7 linked regions of the Callithrix jacchus genome follow. The protein of the gene in region 6 interacts with the protein of the main gene of each other region in a pairwise test. Links are inferred from orthologs where the notes say so. Each region holds a gene or a part of one and is shown on either strand. Other genes may lie near its edges.

Region 1 (4,178 bases), on a different chromosome or scaffold from region 6:
CTCCTGGGTCTGGCCATCTCCAGCGTTCCTCTGCTTTACAGCATCTTCCTGTAAGTGCGAGAGGCTCCTGCCTCTTTCCCTCCCTCTCCCTGCGTTCAGCGTTCAGACTCCTGGCTCTACGTGAGCCCAGCCTATCTTGACTTCAGGATCCCACCTTCTAAGCTATGTGGTCCATTCCGGGGGCAGTCGTCCATCTGGGCCCAGATCCCTGAGTCTATTTCCAGCCTCCCTGAGACCGCCCAGAACTTCCTCTTCTTCCTGGGGACTCAGGCTTTTGCTGTACCCCTTCTGCTGATTTCCAGGTGAGTTTGCCCAGACTTCTGGGTCTGGGTTTGAATGCACGTGATCTGGGGGCCACCACCTGCGTCGGAGAGAGGAGAGGCTCGGGGTGGGAGGAGGCCTAGGGTCCAAAGGAGGAGGAGGAGGAGGGTGGGACTTAGGACTCCTGGGCTGGGAGACTGAAGTCCTTGTAGATGACATCCTGGCTTTGAAGGAGCCAGGGGTTTGTATAGAATGGAGGAGCGTGTCAGGAGTGGCTTCTGTTCGTGTCTCCTCCAGCATCCTGATGGCGTACACTGTGGCTCTGGCTAACTCCTACGGTCGTCTCATCTCTCAGCTCAAACGTCAGAGAGAGACGGTGAGCCAGGCGGGTCCCTGAGAGGGACCCCGTGGGGGACATTGAAAGGCATTGGGGGAGAGGGCTGTCTGACCTCCACCTCTCTTTGCCTCAGGAGGCGCAGAACAAAGTCTTCCTCGCACGGCGCGCTGTGGCGCTGAGCTCCACCCACCCGGCTTTTTGACCCCTGCAGCCCATGTCCCACCTTCAGACTCCAGGCCAATTGTAAGCCTAGGTCACATCTGTAAAACTAGGAGAACTAGAGAAGACCCCACGCTCTTCCAGCTCTAGGATCTGGAGGTTTCCAGAGACCCTCGCCGCCACGTCCCAGACTCTCGGGTGATCTTTCTTCTATGAATAAACACAGCCGAGGTGACTGAGCGCGCTTTGAAATCTGCGTCCTGAAGGTGGGGGCAGGGCTACATCAGGGCGGGAGCCAATCAAATGCATGGGAATGTGTGGCCGTTCGAAGTGCTCTTCCGCAAGGAGACTTGATGGTTGTGTTGGCCAATCGGCGGCCGAATCTGGCATTAGGGGAGGGCCAACTTGCGATTGGCTCGGATATGTGAAAAGCGGTTGCTAGGGGATACCACGCGCCAAAAGCCTGGCATTCGCTGAGATAAAGGGCGTCTTAGCCAATCACCTGTCGTTACAGGCCAGGGGGCCGTACCAATGAGTTAAGAACCAATCTGTGGTCGAAGTAGGGACAAGAGGGAAGGGGCATTCTCTCGCCAATCGGAAGTGCAGAGAGGCGGGCGTGCCAGTCCGTGGACTGCTACGACGCCATGAATATCTTGCCCAAGAAGAGCTGGCACGTCCGGAACAAGGACAATGTTGCCCGCGTGCGGCGTGACGAGGCCCAGGCCCGGGAGGAAGAGAAGGAGCGTGAGCGGAGGGTGCTGCTGGCTCAGCAGGAGGTAAGCCTGGGAACCGGCCGGGCGGAACTCCGGGGCCCAGCGCGCAGGCGCCATGGTAGGGGGCCGGAAGTGGACGCGTTGCGCAGGCGCCGTGTGCCCCGTATGTAATTCGTGACCCGGCGCGGACCTCTTTTCCGAAACGTTGCTCGGCAAACGTTGTGCCCACTTGCATGAAATCTCCCTTGATCGCCCCCTCGTCTTGTTTCCCCCCACTGATGTATTTCACATGGCTAGAGCAGTGTCTAGCACAAAAGAGAAGCATAAATGTTTACCGAATTCAGGATTCCTTGGACAGTTTGAGGAAATTCGGATCACTTTCTAGTTGGCTTGCACAGTCTATTTATTGAGCAGTTACTGTATGCTAACTGCATGCAGAACGCCTGACTTCCAGAATCCCCCTTAAGCACCGTTCTTTCTTAAAGAGGCATTGTCATCTCCGTGGCACGAAGTGAGATGGCGTCAAGGGAGGGGAAGTCTCCACCCCCTTGGGCGAGCCCTTTCCCTGCACCACCCCCAGACACACACACAAACATGGGCTTTATGTATAGCTCCTTAAATCTGTTTGGTGTACACCTAACTTTCAGTTCCTTAGCCAGTCTGATCCTCCACACTGGGAGGGAGGTAGTCTGGGTTTTTAGAATCTCAGTAGGCTGCTGAGAGCTTTGTCCTGAAGGTGGGAGACCGGGCTTCATCAATGGACTTGGGGTAATGACTTGGAGCCATGCCTGGAATCCAGATCATCTGACCTAATGCAGTTTGTTCTACCTTTATAGCTGTTTTAATTGTCTCACTTGAGGTTAGGAACCCCTTTGGTTTAGGCCAGGGACCTCCTCCCAGCCATCCTTGATGTGTGGTTTACTATTTGAAAGGCAGTTTACAAAACCCAGGTGTTGCCTTATCTGCCTACCCTCACCCCTGCTAGGACAGGTGCCCCCTTTCTTACAAACCCAGCACCCTGGACTGCTGTTTCCTGTGGTGCGCACCAGACTTAAAAGTTCTTGAATTACCTTTAGGTTTTTAATGTCTTGCCTGTAACTTTCTCCCCAGGCCCGTACAGAATTCCTACGGAAGAAAGCCAGACATCAGAACTCACTGCCTGAGCTTGAGGCAGCAGAGGTGGGAGCCCCAAGTTCTGGCCCTGTGGACCTGTTTCGAGAGCTGCTGGAGGAGGGGAAAGGCCTGATCAGAGGCAATAAAGAGCACGAGGAAGAAAAGCGACAGGAGAAAGTAAGCTGGCCTTATCTACTTCATCAGAGACATGAATGGAGCTGGGGGGAGGGACACTTTAGCCATTGGTTGTGACTAAGGCTAAACAAGAGTGAACACTCAGAATTTAGAACCATACCAAAGCACACTCAGAAGTGGTGGCTGTTGCCATTTGGGTGCCCTCAGGGCTTGGAGGTAGATGCTCGAGATCCCCAGCTGCTAGGTGAACTGCTCAGGTCTCCAAACTGGAGGGGTCTCAAACCTGATGAGCTTTTAAAAATCTAAATCAGCTTGGTGGTGGCTCATGCCTGTAATCCCAGCATTTTGGGAAACTGAGGTGGGCAGATCACCCGCGGTCAGGAGTTCAAGACCAGCCTGGTCAACATGGTATCTCTACTAAAAATACAAAAAAAGTTAGCTGAGCATGGTGGCATGCACCTTTAGTCCCAGAGGCTGAGGCAGGAGAATCGCTTGAACCCAGGAGGTGGAAGCTGCAGTGAGCTGAGATCGTGCCACAGCACTCTAGCCTGGGTGGCAAGAGTGAGACTCAATCTCAGGAAAAAAAAAAAAAAAAAAGTGAATCAATCACTTCTTGCCTTTTGGCTAAGATCGAGTGTAAAAGCTCCTGTTCCTCACCTGCTGTCTCTGGACTTGCTGACCCCACCCACGGGTCCTCTTGCTTTGCTTGCTCCCTGCAAAGATGCCTGCCTCTGAACATTCAGGCAGCTCCACCCCATCCCCTCCTTCCTCTGCTTTCTGTGACTGTCCCTGCTATCGTCACCCCAGGGCAGGAGCTTGGCCTCTGCTGGTCTCTTCCCTCCCCAGCACCTGGCACAGCTGCTTCACCATAGGCCTTAGATACCTGTGTCAGGGAGATAAACCTGACACCCTGAAAGATTATATCCCATCTCTTTTATTTCCTGACCCCTCAGGAGAGACAAGAGAAAGCTCTGGGCATCCTGACATACCTGGGCCAGAGTGCAGCCGAGGCCCAGACTCAACCCCCTTGGTACCAGCTCCCACCAGAGCGAGGGGGTCCCCCGCCTGGCCCAGCCCCAGATGAGAAAATAAAGAGCCGCCTGGACCCTCTGCGGGAGATGCAGAAGCATCTGGGGAAGAAGAGACGGCACAGCAGTGATGAAGGCAATCACAGCAGAAAGGAAAAGGATGGCTCTGAGACACAGCGACCCAAGGGGTGAGGAGGAGGACCCTGCCCTGGCAGAGCAGGACCCAGATCTTCAGGGCTTGGCAGCAGCCTGGCACAGGCACAGCAGGAGCTCTGGGTGGAACAGCCAGGGACCCCGTGAAGGGATGGCTGGGTGGAAAAGTGGTTCTCACCATGTGGTCCAGGGAGCCCTAGGGGTCCTGACTCCCTTTCCGGGGGGTGCCGTGGTGTCAAGCCTATTTTCCTAACACTGTTTGCCTTTCACACTCATTCT
Region 2 (3,926 bases), on a different chromosome or scaffold from region 6:
AGTGGATCACGAGGTCAAGAGATCGAGACCATCCCGGTCAACATGGTGAAACCCCGTCTCTACTAAAAATACAAAAAATTAGCTGGGCATGGTGGTGCGTGCCTGTAATCCCAGCTACTCGGGAGGCTGAGGCAGGAGAATTGCCTGAACCCAGGAGGCGGAGGTTGCGGTGAGCCGAGATCGCGCCATTGCACTCCAGCCTGGGTGACAAGAGCGAAACTCCGTCTCAAAAAAAAAAAAAAAAAAAGAGGAAGAGGAAGGCAGGGACATGACGTGGGCAGGTGGTGTAGGGTCTAGGGGGCTGAGGTCTGCAGCCAGTGACCTCAGGAGCAGAGGCAGCCTCACCTAGGGCCAGAAGACTAGGCTCCTGCTGGGAGGTCTCCGATCCCCTAGCGGGGAGCCTCCCACCCCCATCCTCACGAGGCCCTTGCAACCTCCCTTCACCATCTTTCCCAAAACACTTCCAGCCCAGCTCCCGACCCCACCCCCCGTTCTCGGCCTCGCAGCATCCTGCGATGTTCCCGTAGCACGGGAGGGGAAGCCGGGGTCCCAGAGAGCGAGCAGCCCCTGCGGCCAGAAGTCCCGGGATCAGGACGTCGCGGGCTCTAACCTGAGTAAATCAATAGGAAACTTCCCAACTAGGTTTTGCAGGAAGCTAAGAACACAACCCACCAGGCCCCAGGGCTGGGGGCTGCCCCGCGGGACCTTAAGCCTAGCAACCCGCCTCCGTCCGTCCCCATGGCAACCGGGGCGTGGTCCGACCCGGATCCGCCGGTCGCCCCATCCGGCAGCGGCTGCGAGTCTCGCCTTCAGAGTCGGAGGAGTCCGCGCCGAGCCTACTGGCCCTTTAAGTGGCTCCGCCCGGCAAGTCGGCCACACGCTTCCGATTGGTCCCGAGCGCGGCCGAGCGCAGCCGAACTTGACGCACCGCCCGCCGCCTTCCCTACCAACCACCCACGCGGCTCAGCGGCCTCCCCAGCCAATCGCCAGCCAGCGCGCCGATCTGTATCTGCATGGCCACGCCCCAGGGGAAGACCGCACCCAATGGGACCGTTCGCCGAGGCCATCATTAGCATGCCAGGGGCGGGGCGGGGCGGCCGGCGGGGGCGGGGGACGGGCTGCGGGCGGTTGGTTGGAGCGTCGCGCAGTCGGGAGGTCCGGGAAAGTTTCTTAGGAGGTGAAAACAGCCGCGGAACTTCAGGCCCTGCGAGGGGGCGGGGGTGCGGGGGTCCCGGGGCCGGGCCGGGGTCTTTCCCGGGCTGGGGGGAAGCGACCTAGGCCTCCCGGGGGGCGATCGCCCAACAAAGGATTCTTGGGGCGCCCGCCCTCGAGGACTTCCCCGCCCCCGGATCCGGCCCCCCCAGCGCTTCGGGCCCGGCATCCCGGGGCTCCATCGCGGGGTACCCCAGTTCGTGGTCCGCCACCGGGCGACCCGGGCGCCTTTCACCTCCAGCCGCGTCCGTGTTCCAGGTCCGGCCCGGAGCGGCCATGTCCCACGGCCCCAAGCAGCCCGGCGCGGCCGCCGCGTGAGTCCGCCGACCCTCTCCCCACGCCCACGCCACCTTCCCGGCTGCAGCTCTAGCTCCAGAACCCCCGCCTCAGTCCCGCCGACCTGGGTCTTGACTGCCCGACCTGGGTCACGGGGCTTCTCCCTCCACCCGGTGCTGCACCCCCCACCTCGGCCTCCAGTCCCTCCCAGGAGCCCCGCTTGTCCCACCTTCCTCGGATCCTGACCCCATCAGACCCCGCCTCCTCGGGCTCACGCACCCTCGCTGCAGCCCCGCCGTCGGGGGTCTAAAAGCCCTGGGGTGGGCGTTGCGGGGAGGGGAGGTTCTAGGGACGAGGCTGACCCTGGTATCCTTGGCTCCAGGCCGACGGGCGGCAAGGCTCCGGGCCAGCATGGGGGCTTCGTGGTGGCTGTCAAGCAAGAGCGCGGCGAGGGTCCACGCGCCGGCGAGAAGGGGTCCCACGAGGAGGAGGTGAGAGTCCCTGCGCTGAGCTTGGGGAGGCCCCGGGCTCCCGCCCCAGCCTTGAAGCCCCGCCCCAAGCTAGATTTGAATTGCTTGTGGCTCCGCCCACAGCCCAGATTTTCCTCCGGAAGCTGAGACCCCGCCCCGTGCGAGCTGCCACGCCCCTGACAGATCCTCTGCCACTCTAAATCCAGGCTCCGCTCGCCGCCCAATGCCAGCTCTGCCCACGCTAAGGCCCCGCTGACTTCCACTCCTTGGGGGCGGCACCCTTTCCTATGGTCCTGTGGGCCCTTTCCATCAAGGAGCCACTCCCACCGAGAATAGGCCACGCCCACAACCTACCCCTGGGCTCAAACCTCGGCCCCTAGTCCCCTCAGATCCCCTCACCCCTGGCTCGGGACCCCTCTAATCCTCTGTGTCCTGACTCCTAACCCGGCCCTACCTCCATCTCTTCCGGGTTCTTCCTCCCAGCTAGGCCCCACCCCTATCCCCGCCCATGCACTAGGCCCCGCCCATGCCCCTCTGAGCCCCGCCCCAGGCCGTCAGGCCGCCCTCCCAACGACGCAGCCCGGTTCTGCAGCCGGTGAAGAAACGCGGCTGGCCCAAGGGTAAGAAGCGGAAGAAGATTCTGCCGAATGGGCCCAAGGCACCGGTCACCGGCTACGTGCGCTTCCTGAACGAGCGGCGCGAGCAGATCCGCACGCGCCACCCGGACCTGCCCTTTCCCGAGATCACCAAGATGCTGGGCGCCGAGTGGAGCAAGCTGCAGCCAACAGAGAAGCAGGTGGGGGGGCGGGTCCCCGAACAGTGCCGATGGGTCCACTGACCACCCCCCAGTAGCCCTGACCCCCAAAGGATTCCACGTGCAGGGTTTTTTTTTCCGGCCGGAGAAATGTCCACCCATGACCAGGTTTTTTTGGTGGGTTTTTTTTGTGGTTGTTTTGAGATGGAGTCTGGCTCTGCTGCCCAGGCTGGAGTGCAGTGGTGAGATATTTGTTCACCGCAATCTCCGACTCCCAGGTTTAAGCAATTGTCCTGTCTCAGCCTCCGGAGTAGCTGGGATTACAGGCACCTGCCACCATGCCCGGCTGATTTTTGTATTTTTAGTAGAAACAGCGTTTCTCCATGTTGGCCAAGCTGGTCTCGAACTTCTGACCTCCAGTGATCCAACAGCCTCCGCCTCCCAGAGTGTTGGGATTACAGGCGTGAGCCACCGAGCCCGGCCCGCAACCAGCTTTTGGGGGCGGGGCTAGCAAGAGGCCAGACAGATTGAAAACTGGAGGACCAACAAGGATATGTCTCAGAAGTTGGGTGTGGCCTGGAGTTTCTGTGAAACCTGATTTTCATATTCTGTTAATTTAAAAATTGCAAAAACGTTAAGAAAATATATCAAAGCCACCACCAATATGCACCCTTGTGAGATTTCAAAAAGAGAAACGGGTGTAGGAGGGAGTCCAGGCATTCGCATATCCTGGAGGTGGGTGCCTGCCCATGACTGGCATCTGGGAGGGGCTTGTCACGGCCGAACCAGTCAGGGGCATGGGAAGTGATGTGGGAGCTCGGAGGTCCCTGAGCAACAGGCTGAGGAGTTGGTTGTCTGTCTGAAGGGAATAGGGAGCTATCGAAGGTTCAGGAGAGGGGGAGGGCGCAGTGAAAGCTGAGTGATGGAGACTGGGTCCTGACGTTGGAGGCTTCCCCTGCCTCTGGGTGGGTCAAGTCTTCTGGTGCTGCCCTCCAGCGGTACCTGGATGAGGCGGAGAGAGAGAAGCAGCAGTACATGAGGGAGCTGCGGGCATACCAGCAGTCGGAAGCCTACAAGATGTGCACGGAGAAGATGCAGGAGAAGAAGATCAAGAAAGGTGGGAGAGGCCACGCACAACGGCTCACGCCTGTAATCCCAGCACTTCGGGAGGTCGAGGCAGGTGGATCACCTGAGGTCAAGAGCTCGAGACGAGT
Region 3 (3,018 bases), on a different chromosome or scaffold from region 6:
CAGGGTGTAGGCCCTCTGCGTTCCGGCACTGACCCTCAAGCAGAGGGTCCTGGCTGCAGGGGCATGGCACGCAGCCTATCTCAGAGGCACCTCCCACACCCTGTCATCACAAGCCCAGTTTGCCTTTGAGATGACCCAGAAGGTTGAGACTGTCCACACAAGCAGGTACAGTCCAGAGCTTGGCTCCCATTTCCCTGTGTGGGGGAGTCCTGGCCTCAGAGCCCTGAAGCTGACCCTGGGCCAGCCCAGCCCTCCTTGTACCTGGTGCAGTACCCCTCCACCCCCAGCCTCTGTGAGGGCCCAGGCAGAAGACCCCTCAGCCCCAGCAACAATCCCCCAGCTCACCTGCTCCATGAGATGGGAAGGCTCAGCCCAGCAGGTTGGGAGCCCCCACTCCTGGCCACCCAGGGCAGAAAGGGGCCCGTGAGCATGGAAAATCAGGCCCACCAGACCGTCCGTCTGCCGTCCTAGGCCGGCTTGCTCCTGGAGGGTCTCCAGCCACTCACGATGGGGAAATATTTCCAGAGATTCTTGGTCTTTGTGAGTTTGCAGCTATGCAGTTGCCTGCCTCGTGCCTCTTCGAAGAGGGCTGCTTCAAAAATCACAAGGGATCGATGTCGTTTGAGGCTCAGGGTCCTGCAGGAACGTCCCAGGCCACGGAGCCTCCTGCGGAGTTGCAGTCACTGAACACCTTTCCTCTCCCTGCCCCAGGCAAGTACTGGCGCTGCCTACAACGTGCAGCCTCCACGGCGGGGCGCTCTCTGATCGAGGCTCAGACCTGCGAGAACGACGAGGCCGAGACGGTCACCGCCATGGCCTCACTGTCAGTGGGCGTGAAGCCCGCCGAAAAGAGGTGAGCGCCTGCCCAGCTGCCCGCCTGCCCCACCGCCCGCCTGCCCCGCCGCACGCCTGCCCCACCGCCTACCTGCCCTGCCGCCCGCCTGCAGGCCCACCCAGCCCCACTGTGCCCAGTGACATACTCTGCAGGGTCAGAACCTTTATGGCACATGCCCTACCAAGCTGGCAGGGCAGGCCCTGGGAGAGGGATGCCCATCAGACTAGAAACAGGCCAGGTGGCCCCCTCCATCCAGTGCCAAAGCCCCTTAGAGACACATAAGGAGCAGTAGGCCCTGAACAGATGCCACCTGGGCTAGGCTGGCAGCTGGGGCAGCGCGCGGCCTTTAACCCACGTTCTGTTCTCTCTCTGCTGCGGGGCATGTGCCCCACGCCCCTGTCTCTTTCTCTTGCGGGATGCACAGACCAGACGAGGAGCCCATGGAAGAGGAGCCGCCCCTGTAGCGCCCCTCGAAGCTGCTGTTCTCTTGTCTGTCTGTCTGTCCTGAAGCTCAGCCAAGAAACTTTCCCGTGTCACGCCTGCGTCCCACCACGGGGCTCTCGGAGCACCCAGGGACACCTGGCGTGTGACAGCCATGGGAAGCCTTTCTGCCGCCTGGGCCCACAGGTTCGAGATGCACATGCACACCTGGGCGTGGCGGCCTCACAGGGAGCACGGGACAGATGCGGCTGACGCGCAGACACTCGGACACGCGCAAGCCAAGCACACTCTGGCGGGTCCCGCGAGGGACGCCGCGGTAGAAAGAAGCCTGCGGCGACGAGCGGCCGAGCCGCTGAATTCCGTTGACGCGAGGCACAGAAAATGAGCATCAGAGATCTGATAATGCAAAACAAACTTGACTAAAACAGGTGCTTAAAGTTTGATTATCACACGCAACTCCACAGTCTCTGTGTAAACCACTCGACTCATCTTGTAGCTTATTTTTTTTTTAAAAGAGAACGTTTTCTACGGCTGTGGCCTGCCGCTGTGAACCATAGCAGTGTGCAGTGGGGGGGTCTGCACCCAGGTGGGGGACAGAGTGACCTTTAAAGAAGACAAAACCGGACAGAATCAGGAGTGTGAGCCTGGGGAAGCTGGCTTGAGTTTCTCAAAGCCATCGGAAGATGCGAGTTTGTGCCTTTTTTTTATTGCTCTGGTGGATTTTTGTGGCTGGGTTTTCTGAAGTCTGAGGAACAATGCCTTAAGAAAAAATAAACAGCAGGAATTGGTGGGACAGTTTCCTGTGGCCAGCTAAGGCTGGCAGTGCTGGCCCCATGACCTGGCCTGAGCCCCAAGCTCGGGCACCGGCCATCATCTCCGGGGCCAGGGGCTGTAGCCCGCCGGGCCCCATTTTGCTTTATTGCTGTTTAAGGAAAATGGAGGTAGTTCCAAAAAAGTGGCAAATCCCGTTGGAGGTTTTGAAGTCCAACAAATTTTAGACGAATCCAAAGTGTTCTCTTGTCACACATCACATAGCGATTGAGCATCTCCATCTGGTCGTGAAGCATGTGGTAGGCACACTTGCAGTGCTCCGATCGGAATGCTTTTTATTAAAAGCAAGTAGCATGAAGTATTGCTTAAATTTTAGGTATAAATAAATATATATGTGTATAATATATATTCCAATGTATTCCAAGCTAAGAAACTTGATTCTTATGAAATCTTGATAAAATATTTATAATGCATTTCTAGAAAAAGTATATATATATATATACACACACATTTATATATATATATATATATATATATATATATATATATATAAAATGAATGCAGATTGCGAAGGTCCCTGTAAACGAATGACTTGTGAATTTGCTCTAAAGGTGCTTATGGAAAGGGATCCTGATTGAAATTCATGTATTTTCGAGCTCCAGATTGGCTAGAATTCAAATCGCCAACACATTCGCCACTGGGCAACTACCCGACAACTTTGTACTTTAATTTTAATTATTTTCTAACAGAACCCTTTCTGTCTCCAAGCCTTCATGCACATATGTACCTAATGAGTTTTTATAGCAAAGAGTATAAATTTGCTGTTGATTTTTGTATGAATTTTTCACAAAAAAGATCCTGAATAAGCATTGTTTTATGAATTTTACATTTTTCCTCACCGTTTAGCAATTTTCTGAATGGTAATAATGTCTAAATCTTTTTCCTTTCTGAATTATTGCTTGTACATTTTT
Region 4 (4,182 bases), on a different chromosome or scaffold from region 6:
AAAACTTGGTAATTTATAAAGAAAAATAATTTATCGTCTACAGTATTGGAGGCTGGGAACTCTCAAGACTGACAGACCACACCTGGTGTCAGGAGGCAGCACTGCAAAGTATCGTGTGATCAGAGGCTGAGCAGGCTCATTATCAGGTCTCTCCTCATAAAGCCACCAGTTCTACCTCCATGATAATCCATTAATAGATGAATCCCCTCATGAAGACAGAACCCTCATGATCCAACCACCTCTTAAAGACTCTACCCCTCAGTACTGCCACACTGGGGATTACACGTGAGTTCGGAGGGAACAGATATTCACACCATAGCACTACCTATCTAATATGCTATAGCCCATCACGTCCTGGTCAAAATCGATCCCACCATTCTGCTTGATTTTCCTCATATAACCCATCCCTATCTCATAATTTTGTGTTTGTCTCCCCGGAAATCACGATCTTGTTCATTGTTGTCTCCTCAAGGAGTAGAACACGGGCCAGGAAAACACTTGCGAGATGAATAAATGCGCTTAATAAACGTGTCATGATCAGTCTATCTCGCATTTTCCCCACGCCCCCTCTCCATTCATTTTCAGGAACCCGCCAACGTTGCTATCCCTTCAGGGAAGCCCTTGGACCGGCGTCGCCATCCCAAAGAGAGTCCCTTCTCCCACTCTAGGCGAGGGATTCCCAGCCTGGAAGCTAACGGGGTCTCAGGGACAGACAGACGCGCCAAGGACCGGGCACTTGCGTCTGACAAGCGCTGAGCGGGAGCAGAGAAAGAGGCACCCCTCTCTTCGCTTCTTTGAGCCTGCCGCCCTCCCAACCTTAAGCCCTGGACCAGGCCCTCATTTGGCTGCACTCACGCCTCCCCGGCCGCCGAGCTCAGCGGCTGCTCCGGGTTACCTGCCTGGGATCTGGCTCAGACAAACTCTCTTCACACCGCCATTCGAGAGAACACACCAGCCCTCTCTGGGCCACCGTAGTTCACAGAAAGTACACGCTGATCCCTCCTCCCGCATGCGCAGAGACCGCGTTCGGCGTACAGTGTCTCTTAGCAACCGTTTTGAGTCCCTCGTCAGGGGCGGAGCCTCGGAAGCCACCACAGGGAGGCCGTGGGGGTAAGTGAATGGACCAATCGGAGACGAGCCTCAGTCCCGGTCGGCACGTCTCCCTTAACTGTCGCGAATGCAGGGGCAGCTTTACGGCAGGCAGAAGGTGGGGGCTGCTGGGGGTAAGGAGGAGAGAGGGAAGCAACCAACCAACTAAGTCGCCCCCACTCCCCCCACCCCCACCCACCCCGGACCTGGTTTACGGCTCCAGGCTCAGGATCCACTGCGGCCGCTGATTGGTTGCTGAAGGCTTGGTCCCATCCCAGTGACCCCAAAGTGCTGGAGGGAGGGGGCGGGGGTGGCCCAGTGCAAAGTGCATCCCGAAAGCCCCCTGTCCGGAGACCCCACGGCTGGCACTTCGGACCTCGTATGACCTAGGACCTTGCTGTCCCGAGACCTCCTGGGTCCTTCCGTAGCTGGAAGCCTCCGGCCCGGAGCGCGGCAGCCCTTAGTTCCGAGCCCTGGACCGGGACTGCCCCCCCCACCGGAGCCGGGACTTCCTCCCTGCCTCCCTACACCCCTGCCCCGAGGCTGCCCGGAGGCCGGGACCGCCACCTCCTGCCTGCTCGGCTGTTTGGATGCTCGCCGGGCTGGGGCCGTGAAGCACCGAGGAGGATCTGGAACACCAGGGTCCGGCCCTGCCTTGGGTATTTCTTCAATGGAGAAGTTGGTGAGTGTGGAGGAGGCTAAAAGGAGGAAGAGAAGCAGCAGCTGAGGAGACAGGTAAAGTCAGATACCTCCCCCAAGGGGAAGAGAGCTGGCTGGGAGGGAAGAAAATATCTGCTTTTTCTTGCCTGCCCTTGCCACTCTCCAGTCGCTTTCCTGAGCTCCCCCTTCTTCAGAGCCCCCTCCTCACCCCTGAGACACTGCACCACTTACTGGTTTCTGTTTTTCTAGGTTTGAGCTGGCTGAAGAAGACGCGAAAGCAGGAAGGGGTCTACCCACTTACCAGGGAAGCAGAAGGGACATTGCCTCTGATCAGCATCGTCTATATAGGTAATGAGCCAGCCTTCCCCTCCCCCATTGTTTATTCCTGGCCCCTACCTCATTAGGCAGTGCTTTATTTTCAGGGTGGTTGCCTGGGAATGCAACCTTTCCTAACCCAACCCCTCCCTCAGTTTCCCAGGAAAAGCAAAAACATTACTCGTGCCTGATCTTTAACATTTTATAACTAATCTGCCCCAGGAACGTATTTTCCCACTTTCTCTCTGTGCAGTGTTTCGGTGTTTTGCGTTGTCTTTTGGTACACTGTGCCATTTACTTTGCTCTGAGACTTTGAGACCTTTTTATAGCTACCCCCCTTCCTTACTCTCATAGGAATTCCTCAATTCTTTGTTAATTGCTTGTTAATTCTGAATGACTCTCCCTTTTAATTAAACCATAATTTACTGTTTCCCCCCCTTACTTTTTCCTATCACCTTTCTTCTACCTGCATCAGAAAAATCTTTTGAGTTAGGGAGTTGACAATGATTTGGTAGAGGAAGGTAAATTAATGGCTTGAGATTTATGAGTGTCAGAAAATTGATTTTATTTCCTGCTAAAAAGCGAACCTGTGTGCCTTAAGAGTGTGAATGGTATAAAGGCAACCTTATTACCCTGAAGCATTTAAGTGTAATTAACTCTTTTGGCTTTTTGTGTTTTTGTGTGTCACAAAGTGGCTGGGCTTTGAAACTTGTAAGTTACACCTCAGATTTTCTAGAAGAACTTTAAAAAGTTTACACAATATCTTATTGATCGTCTGACTCTCACGGATTTAAAAACAAAGGAACCTTTTGGTGTGTTTACATATCTGGCTCTTAATTTTAGCATTCTATAAGAAAAGATTTCTCATTTCAAAACCCTTACATAGAGTTTGCTAGGTTGAAGTTTAAGCATCTAATTCATGTGATCACATTTCTGCTGCCATATTTTGTTGCTGCTTCTGAAAATGCACTGAAGGTAAGCTTAGGACATTAGTGTAATTCCTAAAGAGGGAATATAAGCGTGGAAATTATACAAAGTTTAACTCCAAAATTAGCCAAATGAATGACTTTTCTAACATCCAGTAGCAAAAGTATAAAGTGATGTGTTAATCTATTTTAATATCCCAGATTGTTTAGGGAATTTTTGTTACAGGGAAGTACTTAAAATAGCAGAAATGAATATTTTTGTTTTCCTATGTTCCTCTGGACTTTCTGCCCTCCACAAAAAGAAATTAGTATCTTTACTGATTTTGTTAATTCTCAAGACATAGCTAAAGATGCTTTTAAGGGGATCTGAGGTATACGTATTCTTGAGACAGGGAACTGGATGCCAAAAGAAGAGATTCTACAGAACAGGATTTAGAATCAATATGTACCAGTTACCGTTCCCTGGTGAAAACTTAGGGCAGCCTTTGTATGTGTATGTAGGGAATCGGGAGTACTTGACTACATCATTTCAGTAAAAGCTAGGCAGAAACCTTTAAAGGCTAATTTTATTATGTAAGTATGGAAGTTGCCAGGGAGATGGCCTAATGATTACTTCAGAACTTCTAAAAAATGCTAAAATATTTGAAGTATGTTTTAAAGATAAAAAATCAAGTACTGTGTTTTGTATTCAAGCCTCTCAGTTAAATATTTTTTTCTGCTTTAGATTTAACTCTAGGATGGTTTCATTTTTAAGGGGTGGTTTCACCTGAGATGGTAAGGGAGGGAGTCTGTGGCTAGTCCAGCATATAAGGTAAGAGAGGATGAGGCTTTACCCTGGCTCTCAGCCAGTTCATTCTCGTTGCTTAAATGGTATTTCGTGGATCATCTCATCTTTTAATGGTTTTTCTAAAATGAGAGAATATATATAAATCATCAGCATCTGTAATGTTTCTAATATTAGAATGATTGAGAGTGTTTGTTCTAGATTATGCCAGACATTTACAATATTGAATTTGGGTATTTACCAACACGACTAGTTAGGTAGCTTACATTTTTTAATCTGGCAGTTAGCTTTTGTTGATTCTGTTGCCAATTATGTGGTTTAAAAAGAAAATCCAATTTATTTGGTCACCAAATACAGATTTATAATCACGTAGGGAGAATAATTGATTTTAATTGAAGATATTCAATG
Region 5 (4,086 bases), on a different chromosome or scaffold from region 6:
AGCAGCCCCCTAATACTGCAAAGAAGTTGTGTTCATTTATCATCTTCCAAGCATAATCTAGGCTTCTGGCAAATTAGACCCAACCACTTTGTTCTACATTCAGCTGCAGGGGAGTGAACCCTCCTACGGATTCCCAACTCCCTCTGAAACTCCACCCTTCTGGAGGGCTTGGGAATGGAAAGCACTGTGGAGCTAATGCCATGTCCAAAGACCCTCCACCTGAGCCAGTAACTGTTAGCCCCAGAAACAAAGTCCCCTTTTGCTGGAACTGCCACCACTAGCTTCCCCCCTTCTCTTAGCCTCTGTGTGGCCCTCTCCGGCCGAGGGCCTTCCCCATTGGCCAGCCAAACACAACCGACTGCGGCAGCCAATAGGAGCCGCTCTCCTGAACATTCAGAGGATGGGTGCTCGTGGTGTGATAAGGGGAGGTTGGCGCCTGGTACGCGCCCCCCTACATCTGGCAAGTCCGTGGCAGAAACAGTAACATCCCCTACACACGCACACGCGCGCCCGCTGGCTCCCTCCTCTCAGCTGTGCAGGCCCCCGACAATCCGCTGCGTGTCTTGGCAGCACCCTCCCAGGCTGCCTGGGGCCTGCGAGTGCACCTGCTCACTCAATAAGACAGAGCATCCCTTTATCCCTAGGCGCGGGTGGGGTAGGGGTGGGGGTAGAGGGGACGGGGTAACGGGGACTGGGAAGGCTCCACTCAGCTGTCCGCTGCTCCCGAGGTGAAAGAGGTGCCCCCGCCCCCACCCCGCCCTCGCGTTGCTCCAGCAAGGTCGAAGTGATCCAGTGATGCCTTAGGGTGCAGCTCTTTGTCCTTCCCAACTGCGCTCCCTGCCCGCTGACCCCATGCGCTCTGAGCCAGTGGGGGCAGGGAGCCCGAAACTTATAAATGGGGGCAGGAAGAAAGAAGTCTATCCCGGGGTGGCGTGTGCCACCGTCCCCACCCCCTCCCTTTCCTCCTGAGGCTTCTTCCCTCCGGTCCATCCCTAGGGTGCAAGCAGGGGACAGTGTGGACCGACGCGCGGCGGCGGCTGGAGCAGCGCCGTAGGGTCCTTCGCCCAAAGCATCCGGTCCGAGGGTACACACAGGCAGAAGGCTCGCAGCTCGTCCACTCTCCTCCCTCTTTCCTCCTCTCCCTAGCTTTTGTGTTGGTGCCTCCGAGCTGCAAGAAGGGTGTGCTGGAAGAGGAGGAGGGGGGCCGGGGTGAGAGGCACCCCCTTCACGCGCGCGCGCACACGGTGCAGGCGCACGCTCACACGGGCGGACACACACGCGCGCACACACACGCACAGAGCTCGCTCGCCTCGAGCGCACGAACGTGGACGTTCTCTTTGTGTGGAGCCCTCGAGGGGGTTTGGGGCCCCGGTCCGGTCCGGGGGAGATGGCGCAGCCCATCCTGGGCCATGGGAGCCTGCAGCCCACCTCAGCCGCCGGCCTGGCATCCCTGGAGCTCGACTCGTCGCTGGACCAGTACGTGCAGATTCGCATCTTCAAAATCATCGTGATTGGGGACTCCAACGTGGGCAAGACCTGCCTGACCTTCCGCTTCTGCGGGGGTACCTTCCCAGACAAGACTGAAGCCACCATCGGCGTGGACTTCAGGGAGAAGACAGTGGAAATCGAGGGCGAGAAGATCAAGGTGATCCAGAGGGTCAGGTCCGGGAAGGGAGGGACCTAGGAGGGGACCTCGCCCGAGGCATAGCTCTAGCCCGGCGTCCGGCTTGTGGCGGTTTCGCCTCTTGCTGAGCCAAAGACCCTCAGCCCCTTCTCAACCCTTTCACCTCTCTCAGTGGGGCCCCATCCCCACCTCACTCAATTTTTTAGGGAGGGCGAGAATGGTGACATTCTTACCCTTTGCCCCTGCCTGACAGGTCCTGCCAGGAAAATGCATGTTGGATCCATCCTCGACCCCTAGCCAGAGCAGCGGCACCTGTGGGCAGAGGGAGGCAGGAGGCATCTCTGGGTCCTAGTCTGTGGGATGGATCCCAAAGCACTTTACACATCCTGAGGTCTCTTCTACCTCTTGGGTGCCGATAGGCTGCAAAACGCCACTTTGGCTAAGCCTCAAGGCATTAGAGGGCAGGGAAGGATGGAAATTCATGGAGAATGAAAAAGCTGTTTCATTTTAAATTGCAGGTGAAAGTTAAGATTAGGACTGAATTGAGATGGGGTGGAGTGGAGTGGCTCTGGCAGATAGCATTGAGCCCTTTTGAAGAAATTGAGGCAGGGTTATCAGCCAGCCCTTTGTAATTGACAAAACTTGTTTGTTTGGAACAGGGCCCCTGGAGCGGTATCTTCTTTACTTGTCTGGGGTATCTAATAGAAGAACTGCTCCTTATTCATTCTGTTGGTATTGTCTTCGGAAGGTCTTTGTAAAAATGCAGAGTGACTTAACCGGGGGCTCAGGGAAATGCTCAATCCTCCCCCTCCATAAGTCTATGTAATAGGCGAAGTGCAAATATTCTTGTCTGACCATTTGTGCTCACCTTTCATTCAGAAAAGGTAGAAACCTGAGATGACAGGAATATGTCAGTGTGCAGGAGATGGCGGGAGGGAAGACATAACAAGGGCAACTTGGTGTGTCAGGGAGCAGAGGGGGCCTTTATAAAGGCACTGGGATCACTGAAGACAACTCTAGGCTCACAGCTGGTCTTTCCTTGAGCCTGTGGTTGAACCCTATGCAGAGTCAGGGTGACAGTAAGCCACCTTCTTGCTGGTCAAATGGCCACAGTGACCATAAGACCCCTCTTCTGAGTGACATGGAGAGAAGAGCTGAGTGACTGATGAAACACTTGAAACTGTGTAAGAGTCCTGACTCCTTGATTATTAAAATAAATGTGTTCTAAAATTGGCTTCAGAAACTGGGCCAGCGCACTAGATGTCAGGAAGATGGACAGCTCAGTGCTGATAAGGGAGAGCCTCAGGGTCAGGAAGATAGAACATTATTTTGAAATTGTGATCTTTTTGGCCCCTTGCATTTTGGAGGGGAATTGCTACATTTCCTTTTAAAGTCAAAGGTGATATCTGCCTCTGTCCTTTCCTGGGGCTGTTATGTTGACATTTGCTTGGTTAGGACTTCCCCTAGTGTGTCTAGCTTCTTTAATGTAAGGCTATATGATTCTAGAATTTCTAAAACATGCCTTTGTAATCCAAAGTAGAAATATCTTTACGGATGGGCTCTTAAACCCTCAAAAACCTTAACGTTTAATGCTCTTCTTTGCTTAAAATCAAGTGTTACAATGAGCTAAAGAGTTCCCTGGATTTAAAAGGTGGGAAATAAGTCCATCTAAAATTTAGATGGAGAAAAAGGAGGTATTTGGGGATCTAAAGGAGGGAAGAGGAAGCTAGAAAGTGAGGAATGGGAGATGAATACGAGTGGAAGAGTCACCATCCAGTGGCCTTGGGGGAATTTTTAAACCATTTATTCTCTTCCAACACCCCAGTACTTAACCAAACTGGATTTTATAGTCTCTGCCAAAGATTCCGGACTTTTTCCCAGAGGGCAGAGCCTGTGACAGTGTGACTCACAAGAAACAGAACTCAGCACAACACCACGTGCAGATAAGTGCTTAATAAAGGCTTTTTTTGGGAAGACGATATTTTCAAGAGGACAAAGCCTTGTGACACTGGTCATGGAGGAGTCCTGTGAGGGCAGATTCCGAAGGAACTCAGAGTGGCACGTGGGAGTGGGGAGACGGAGACCCTGCCTCTTGTAAATCTGCTGCAATCGCAGGGCCAGAGCTGGCAGGCGAGAGACCAGCATGTCTGTGGGAAGGCGGCAGAGCCTGGCAGCTAGCACGTGATCTAGATAGGAAAAGATTTGGCCTCACACTCTGGCTAGCCTGAAGTTGTTCAAGGAATACGTGCCAAAGCCATGCTTGGAGATAACTGCCAAAGGCTCCCTTTGGGAGAGAGAGAAAAATCCAATGCGACAGTCTGAGGTCACCCTAGACCACGGTCAGTAATAGAAGGCTGTTGGGCCGTAACATACCAGCCCTTGCAGGACAGTGGTAGAGAGGTCTCAGCCAGCTCTTCTCAGTCCAACAGCAAGGGTGTGGTCTCTTCTGGGCAGCCTCCCTG
Region 6 (3,500 bases):
TAGCTGATCAGATCTCATCCTGGACATCAGCAGCCAAGAAGCCAGGCCTAGAGGGCCTGGGAAACATGCCCAGAGGCCAGATTCAGAATTGGGGCAGGAGATACAGGAACTAATAGTAAGATCTTGCTTACAGTTCTTCATATTGCTGCATTCAAGGCTGGGGCTGATTTTAGAACTAGGGGTGGGGGAGGGGACTGAGCCTGAAGGCCAGGACAACGGGTATACCTGACTGAGAAGAGGATGTGGTAGGGAGCCAGGGTGTTCTGGAAACCCACTGCTCCAAGGAGACAGGGATATAACAGAGTGCAGAAACCAGCCAAAATGGGAGCCCAGAAATCATGGAGTATCTGCCTTGGGGAGATTTTCCCAAATGAGTAAGAAACTGACACATGCCAGTTACCTGTAGGCTAAGTGAAAGACATAGGCTGGTGTGAGGCTGAAATGTAGGTGTGCCATTCACTAAGATGTGCTCTCAGACACCTGCACCAGGAAAGGTGCAGCTGAAAGGACTGAAATGTCAGAGTAATGATAATGTCTCCCCACCCCTGCCCCCAGCAATCCAAATTGCTTATGGAGCAGATGCAGACCCTGCAGGTGCTGTATGAAGCCAGTCAGGCGGAGCAGGAGCTCTTGCAGCAAGAGCAACGGAGGCTCCTAGAGGAGCGGAAGAGGCTGCAGACGGACTTGCAGCTCTGCCTCGAAGAAATGCAACTGCTTCAAGTCCAGTCCCCTTCTATAAAAATGAGCCTTGAGTCCTACAGAAAGAGCTATGGTAGCAGCATGCCCCCCAGCAATGAGAACTGTCACGATAGCCATAGCACAATTGATGACAATGAGAGCTATTGCAAGAGTTATACCAGCACCCAGACCAGAGACGAGAGCCTCCTCAAGAGCTATGACAGCAGCACCAGTGCCAGTGAGACCTATGAAAAGAGTTATTGCACCACCAGCAACAGCAGCATTACCTATGAGAAGAGTTACGGCAGCACCAGTAGCTTTGACACCTTTCACAAGAGTTCTGTCAGCAGCTGCACTGACGATGAACCTGCTGAGCCTGAAGACACAGAGGTAACAGTCGCCAGGTGACAGGTCAGGCAGAGGACGATGGACTCTTGTCTTTTTAAGAGATACATTGCCGGGGGAAGAGACAAGAAGTGTGGGAATGGGGTCAGAGCTGATGTGGGGAACTACCGGAAGTAAGCAAAGCCCTCTACCCATGGCAGCCTGGCCTCCCCCTCAGCCCTCTCATAGAGAGATGCCCCCATCTGAACAGAGGCCCATTTATCCCCATAAAGAGCACCACCACAGTCACGGTGCTCTTTATGGGGATAAATACAGTATTCCTCCCGGGCAGCTCCAGATCCTGATGGCCATTGTTTGTTATCCAGAGAAGGGTCCAGCAGAGTTGGGTGGAGCTTAGGTGCTCCTGGGGTGCTATTGTTGCTCACCCCCCCGCCCCCCCACAGCACTTTGAGGAAATGGTTGCGAAGGTGCTGATCAAGCTGCAGGCAGTGCAGGCCATGTACCAGATAAGCCAGGAGGAGCACAGCCAGCTGCAAGAGCAGATGGAAAAGTTACTGGCCAAGCAGAAAGACCTGAAGGAAGAGATGGATGCCTGTGAAAAGGAGTTTAAGGAGTGCATGGAAGGCCTTGAAAAGCCTGTGGCCCCCCAGAACGACCAGAATGAGGTAACTGCTGTCAGGGAGGCAGGGTTTCCTCTGGGAGCCCCTGGAGCCAGAGGAGTCATGGCCACTTCAGAGAGGCTACAGAGAGAGGGACAAAGCAGGGAGAGCATGCGGCTCAGAGGCTGGGCAGTCTTCTGCATCCCTGCTGACATTTCCTAGTGCTCATGGAGCTGGGGTTTACTAGTTTAGTCATCAGGATCCTCTCATCAATGATTTCTCTCTTTCTCCCTTTGCCACTCCTGCTCTCTCTTTTGCTTTGTGTTCTAGACCACTTCTGTAGAAGTATATTTTTGAACTTGCCAATCTTTCATCACTGTGTGTGCATTTGCCATGTCTCCCGGTGTACCAACTAGGAGCACCAACTAGACTGTAAGCAGCTCAAGGACAGGGACATGTCTCCTTTTGGATCTCTCACAGTGCCAAGATGTCCCATTCCTAGAAACGGGACAGAAGCCTTGTCTCTGGCCAGGGGCTCACAGTCCAGTGGGAGTCTCTTTGTATACACATGGGAGAGATTCGGAGAGCAGCGAACACATGGGTCCAGACTGGCTAGTATTGGTACCTATGGAGAGAATGGTGACGTGTTGCCATCAGCCAGGGAAGACAAAACCCGAGATGAGGGAGCAGGGTGTGACTTGCCTCTGTTTCCAGGGTGAGGTGCAGGAGCCCAGTACCCACTTCAGGAGTGTACAACACAGTTCTTTACGTTGTTCCTGTTAGCGAGATGGGTTGGATGAAGTAGGAGTTCTTGTAAAAAGAATTCTATAAGAAATCCCTGAGGTTCAGAATTGATAGCAGCCCTATCGTTATTCCCCAGTCACAGTAAAAAAAACACAATTTAAATAGTTTTTTTGACCTTTTTTTTTTTTTTGAGATGGAGTTTCACTCTTGTGGCCCAAGCTGGAGTGCAATGGCACAATCTCAGCTCACTGCAACCTCCATCTCCCAGACTCAAGCGATTCTCCTGTCTCAGCCTTCCGAGTAGCTGGGATTATAGGAGCCTGCCACCACACCCAGCTAATTTTTTTTGTATTTTTAGTAGAAACAGGGTTTCACTATGTTGGCCAGGCTCTCTCAAATTCCTGACCACAAACGATTTGCCCACCTCAGCCTCCAAAAGTCCTGGGATTACACTGGGTGGCAAGTGAGCCACCACGCCCGGCTGTTTTTTTGATCTTATTAGATATAAATCGTCAGGTGCCTCAAGTTAGAGAGAAGCTATCTGTAAAACTATTTGAGAGGCTTATTTTCCACAGTGGGATATTTTCTTCGTTGTCTACTCCCTATGACTTTAGCAGGGAGATTTCTGAGGCAGTGACCCCCTAAGCAGGACCGAGGTTGGTTGCGTGGGCAGCTAACTGGTTATATAACCCCCCAGCTCTGGATAACTGGCCCTCCACTACCAACAGATCAAAGACCTGCAGACCAAGCTGCGGGAGCTGCAGCTGCAATACCAGGCTAGCATGGATGAGCAGGGGCGGCTTCTGGCAGTGCAGGAGCAGCTGGAGGGGCAGCTGCAGTGCTGCCAGGAGGAGCTCCGCCAGCTCAGGGAGAAGAGACCCTCCACTTTCAAAGCCCAGGGGAAGAATGCTAATAAGAACATGAACAAGAATGCCAATGGGGTTAAAACTAAAAAGGTGACCAAGCTGTGCTCAGATACTTCCAAGAGTGACTTTGAGACCAGAAAGGTGAGTAGTAGCCTTAGTAGCTAGATAAGCAGAAAGGAGGAGGAGATCCTGGGAAGAAGCATCATCTCCTCTGCCCTTTCAACCAGGCAAGGGATTTGTAGAGAAGCTTCTGGGATCTCTGAAGTGT
Region 7 (3,500 bases), on a different chromosome or scaffold from region 6:
CAAAACTCCAAATAAATATTGAATCTAAAAATTAATTAGTAATTTTAATTTTCATTTTTCTCTTCAAATTTCTTCTCTTCTCCTGAACTGTTGACTTTCAAAAATTCACAGAATGAGCATGTTTCTTACACAGTGGCTTGTCCTTCTTGGAGAAAAAGGTCTGACCTTCCAAACTTTCACAACACACCTGAAAAAGAAGCATTATTTAAGAGGATATTATTTAAAAGGATATTATGCATTATTTAAGAGGATATTAAGAGGATTGTATCAAGTATGCTGGAGAAGGAGAAAGTGATTTTTCCCCCAATGGATAATACGACAAAACACTTTAGTTGGTTATGTTAGACTCCCTAATATTTCACAATTACTAGGACAATTAGATATAATCTTTCAAAAGCAATGAAATATGGCTTTTTCCTAGAATGTATTCTACTTTATAGAAAGCACTGAGCATCACTTTTCTTTATCCAGAGGGAAGATTTATTCCTAACTAAAAATTTAATATAGAAAGAGGGCCCATTAAATATATTGTATCTCCCTGAATTCTAAACAATGTCTTAATTTTGCTTAGTGTTGTAGGGAACCAAAACATGACTCATTTGCTTTACCAAACCTTCCCAAGCCCAACATTAGCTTGCCCACAAATACACAGAATACCTGAGAACTTTTTTTTAAGGGGTGCCTTGTGTTCAAGCTGAGACCTCTTTTTAGTTAGTTTCTTACATAAAGACCCAGGTCAACATCTGGCTGCTGCAGGATTACACAGTCAGCTGACTATCTACATGTACAGCTTCCTGTTCTTCCTGCTGCCTTTGTTAATTAAAATTCTCATGAAGAGCTTTATTAAAGAAAAGGTAAATCTGCTAAAACTTTTGCTTTTTATAGACTTTATGAAGTCTAAGAGATGGATGAGGTAAACATGAGTTCAATGGTAATGTTTGGGGAAATCATTAGGCTTCAATTAATATTACTTTTGTTCCCTTTGTACAATGGGTATTGAAAACTATAGCTATGTTAAATCAAATTTTCAAAAATCAAACACCTGAACAGAGGCATGTTTAGTGGATATTTACTTCCTACATTTAAAAACTATATATTTTAATCTCTGAATCTATCCTAATCATTAAACATAAAACCAAAAATATTAAAATATCAAATGAATAGGCAAATACTTTGTTACATGTTTATTAGACTATAGTCTCAAAAAGAAAAGAATATCCAGAAGCTACTGCTGAGAAAAGAAATGAATCAACATATACTTTATTCCTAGTGTTAATTCAAAAATAGATTTTGATAATTGTTCCTTTGTATTTTAAGAAGTACCTAACATTTCCAAAAACTACTTTTTTTAAGTAAAGGAAACTTACTGTTTTAAGAAATAGATAGCTTCTTCTTATAGACAAAAATATATTAAAATTATATTTTCTCTAAGGACTAAGGATCTCACTGTTTGCCAAATAATTTAAAAAATGCCAAAAAATGTAATAAACAACTTTTAAAATTTACAAAAAAGTAAAAATATATATTTTTTAGGTTCAATGGACTAAAAGATATGAGAGCTGATATTTCCATTAAATACTAAAGCTAGAATTGGCCGTACTATTCCCCTTTAAGTAGGAAGTAAGACTTTACTTACTGAGCATACAAAGCAAGTGTCATGCCAGGTGTAGCCCAGAGCTTCCAGGAACATGTCACCAGCTTCTATGGGAAATTCACATCCATGGCATATAGTACCAAAGAGGGCATAATAATCTGTATTGAGGCAGGGCAGAGAGACATAATTTAAACACAATGAAGTTGTAGAATGATCGTTCCTAGAAGGCAGCAACAAAATCAGGATTAAATGAGATGCTAAAGATAAAGATATTAGGAATTTGAAAAATTTCAGGAGATGGCATAATGTTTGGCTTGAAAGATATGTTCAGCATGTTTCAGGATTCCCTTGGTAAATATTATTTATGCAACCTAACATTCTTGATTATAATTTTCCATGTAATACTTCTCGCTTCTCTCCAACTACTTAATTGCCTAAATAAGTATAAAGAAGAACTGTTCTGGCCAGGTGCAGTGACTCACGCCTGTAATCCCAGCACTTTGGGAGGCTGAGGCAGGTGGATCATGAGGTAAAGAGATCAAGAGCTTCCAGGCAAATATGGTGAAACCCTGTCTCTACTAAAAACACAAAAATTAACTGGGCATGGTGGCACATGCCTATAGTCTCAGCTACTGAGGAGACTGAGGCAGAAGAATTGCTTGAACCCAGCAGAGGGAGGCTGAAGCGAGCCAAGATTGCACCACTTCATTCCAGCCTGGGAGACGGGATGACACTCTGTCTCAGGAGGGGGAAAAAAAGAAGAACTGTTTTGTGACCAGTTATCAGTAGAAATAACTGTTCTAAAGAAATACAAAGGAATACTAATAACTAGCAACAGTAAGACTAATGGACAGGGACCAAGAACAAATGTCTGATATTGGCAAATTTCATAGTGTATCTGACTTGGGCAAGAAAGAAAAAGAAACGTTGCAGGAAACTTGTATGAATAAGTGCTATGACTGAATTTCTAGCTAGACTGTATCACAACAATATTAGCCACAATTTATTTTGTTGTATTTTCCTTTCAATTTTGTAACTTCATGTTGAAAACCCTTGCCCAGAAAAGACCATTTACTTGACATAGACTACAGTTACAAGAATACTAACAGGATTTCCTTCTGAAGAAAGCAGTTTTGAGAAGATGCTTTCTAGTTTTACCAAATTAGAATTTTCTTTCCTTTTTCTTTTTTTTTTCATTAGAGAGTCTCACTCTGTCACCCAGGCTGGAGTGCAGTGGTGTGATAATAATTCACTGCATCTTCCACCTCCTGGGCTCAAGCCATCCTCCTGTCACCATCTCCTGAGTAGCTGAGCCTACAGACACATATCACCATGCCCAGCTAATTAAAAAATTTTTTTCATGTAGAGACAGGGTATTGGTAGGCTGCCTGTGCTGGTTTTGAACTCACAGCCTCAAGGGATAATCCTGCCTTAGCCTCCTGAAGAGCTGGGATTAAAGGCTTTGAGTCACTGTATCTGGCCCTAATTTTCTTTCTTTTCTTTCTTTCTTTCTTTTTTTTTTTTTTTAGACAGAGTCTTGCTCTGTTGCCCAGACTGAAGAGTAGTAGTGCGATCTTGGCTTACAGCAACCTCCGCCTCCCGGGTTCAAGCGATTCTCCTGCCTCACCCTCACGAGTAGCTGAGACTACAGGAGAGGAGCCCATCACCATGCCTAGCTAATTATTTTTGTATTTTTAGTAGAGACAGGGTTTCACCGTGTTGGCCAGGCTGGTTGCCCTAATTTTCTTTTAAGCAGCTCCTCTCACTACTGTGTTGACTCATGGTTCACCCTTTGGCCTTTGACATTGTCAGTCCAACCTCAGCTGAAGAGGAAAGCAGGCTATAATTTGCAATGCAATTCACCTTTCTTAGCAACCGTCAATCTTTAGTATTCCTTCGCACCATT

Evidence for each region.
Region 1: the proteins of CCDC136 (region 6) and LENG1 interact in binary tests that used the Homo sapiens proteins (3 or more experiments, as listed by UniProt). The two-hybrid records come from large-scale screens. The link is inferred for Callithrix jacchus from reciprocal best matches to the Homo sapiens genes CCDC136 and LENG1.
Region 2: the proteins of CCDC136 (region 6) and HMG20B interact in binary tests that used the Homo sapiens proteins (3 or more experiments, as listed by UniProt). The two-hybrid records come from large-scale screens. The link is inferred for Callithrix jacchus from reciprocal best matches to the Homo sapiens genes CCDC136 and HMG20B.
Region 3: the proteins of CCDC136 (region 6) and HDAC4 interact in binary tests that used the Homo sapiens proteins (3 or more experiments, as listed by UniProt). The two-hybrid records come from large-scale screens. The link is inferred for Callithrix jacchus from reciprocal best matches to the Homo sapiens genes CCDC136 and HDAC4.
Region 4: the proteins of CCDC136 (region 6) and ASB7 interact in binary tests that used the Homo sapiens proteins (3 or more experiments, as listed by UniProt). The two-hybrid records come from large-scale screens. The link is inferred for Callithrix jacchus from reciprocal best matches to the Homo sapiens genes CCDC136 and ASB7.
Region 5: the proteins of CCDC136 (region 6) and RAB33A interact in binary tests that used the Homo sapiens proteins (3 or more experiments, as listed by UniProt). The two-hybrid records come from large-scale screens. The link is inferred for Callithrix jacchus from reciprocal best matches to the Homo sapiens genes CCDC136 and RAB33A.
Region 7: the proteins of CCDC136 (region 6) and PDLIM5 interact in binary tests that used the Homo sapiens proteins (3 or more experiments, as listed by UniProt). The two-hybrid records come from large-scale screens. The link is inferred for Callithrix jacchus from reciprocal best matches to the Homo sapiens genes CCDC136 and PDLIM5.

The regions. Positions count from the first base shown.
Region 1 is NC_133523.1:47,340,471-47,344,648, reverse strand, and holds the start of LENG1 (leukocyte receptor cluster member 1), read left to right. Parts: upstream 1-1,378; 5' UTR 1,379-1,401; coding exon 1,402-1,533; intron 1,534-2,580; coding exon 2,581-2,760; intron 2,761-3,671; coding exon 3,672-3,934; intron 3,935-4,178. Other genes in the region: voltage-gated chloride channel TMC4, read left to right, coding at 1-50, 147-302, 559-637, 732-800.
Region 2 is NC_133523.1:3,337,029-3,340,954, forward strand, and holds the start of HMG20B (SWI/SNF-related matrix-associated actin-dependent regulator of chromatin subfamily E member 1-related), read left to right. Parts: upstream 1-1,126; 5' UTR 1,127-1,177; intron 1,178-1,453; exon of another isoform or gene 1,454-1,470; 5' UTR 1,471-1,488; coding exon 1,489-1,526; intron 1,527-1,870; coding exon 1,871-1,979; intron 1,980-2,550; coding exon 2,551-2,754; intron 2,755-3,708; coding exon 3,709-3,829; intron 3,830-3,926. UniProt on the Homo sapiens protein: Required for correct progression through G2 phase of the cell cycle and entry into mitosis. Required for RCOR1/CoREST mediated repression of neuronal specific gene promoters.
Region 3 is NC_133507.1:160,370,064-160,373,081, reverse strand, and holds the end of HDAC4 (histone deacetylase 4), read left to right. Parts: intron 1-711; coding exon 712-853; intron 854-1,259; coding exon 1,260-1,299; 3' UTR 1,300-2,518; downstream 2,519-3,018. UniProt on the Homo sapiens protein: Responsible for the deacetylation of lysine residues on the N-terminal part of the core histones (H2A, H2B, H3 and H4).
Region 4 is NC_133507.1:9,369,518-9,373,699, reverse strand, and holds the start of ASB7 (ankyrin repeat and SOCS box protein 7), read left to right. Parts: upstream 1-1,382; 5' UTR 1,383-1,824; intron 1,825-1,998; 5' UTR 1,999-2,097; intron 2,098-4,182. UniProt on the Homo sapiens protein: Probable substrate-recognition component of a SCF-like ECS (Elongin-Cullin-SOCS-box protein) E3 ubiquitin-protein ligase complex which mediates the ubiquitination and subsequent proteasomal degradation of target proteins.
Region 5 is NC_133524.1:125,837,775-125,841,860, forward strand, and holds the start of RAB33A (ras-related protein Rab-33A), read left to right. Parts: upstream 1-1,286; 5' UTR 1,287-1,387; coding exon 1,388-1,645; intron 1,646-4,086.
Region 6 is NC_133512.1:118,369,040-118,372,539, reverse strand, and holds part of CCDC136 (coiled-coil domain-containing protein 136), read left to right. Parts: intron 1-555; coding exon 556-1,068; intron 1,069-1,466; coding exon 1,467-1,688; intron 1,689-3,094; coding exon 3,095-3,373; intron 3,374-3,500. UniProt on the Homo sapiens protein: May play a role in acrosome formation in spermatogenesis and in fertilization.
Region 7 is NC_133504.1:102,891,378-102,894,877, forward strand, and holds the end of PDLIM5 (PDZ and LIM domain protein 5), read right to left. Parts: intron 1,753-3,500; coding exon 1,637-1,752; intron 188-1,636; coding exon 98-187; 3' UTR 55-97; downstream 1-54. UniProt on the Homo sapiens protein: May play an important role in the heart development by scaffolding PKC to the Z-disk region. May play a role in the regulation of cardiomyocyte expansion. Isoforms lacking the LIM domains may negatively modulate the scaffolding activity of isoform 1.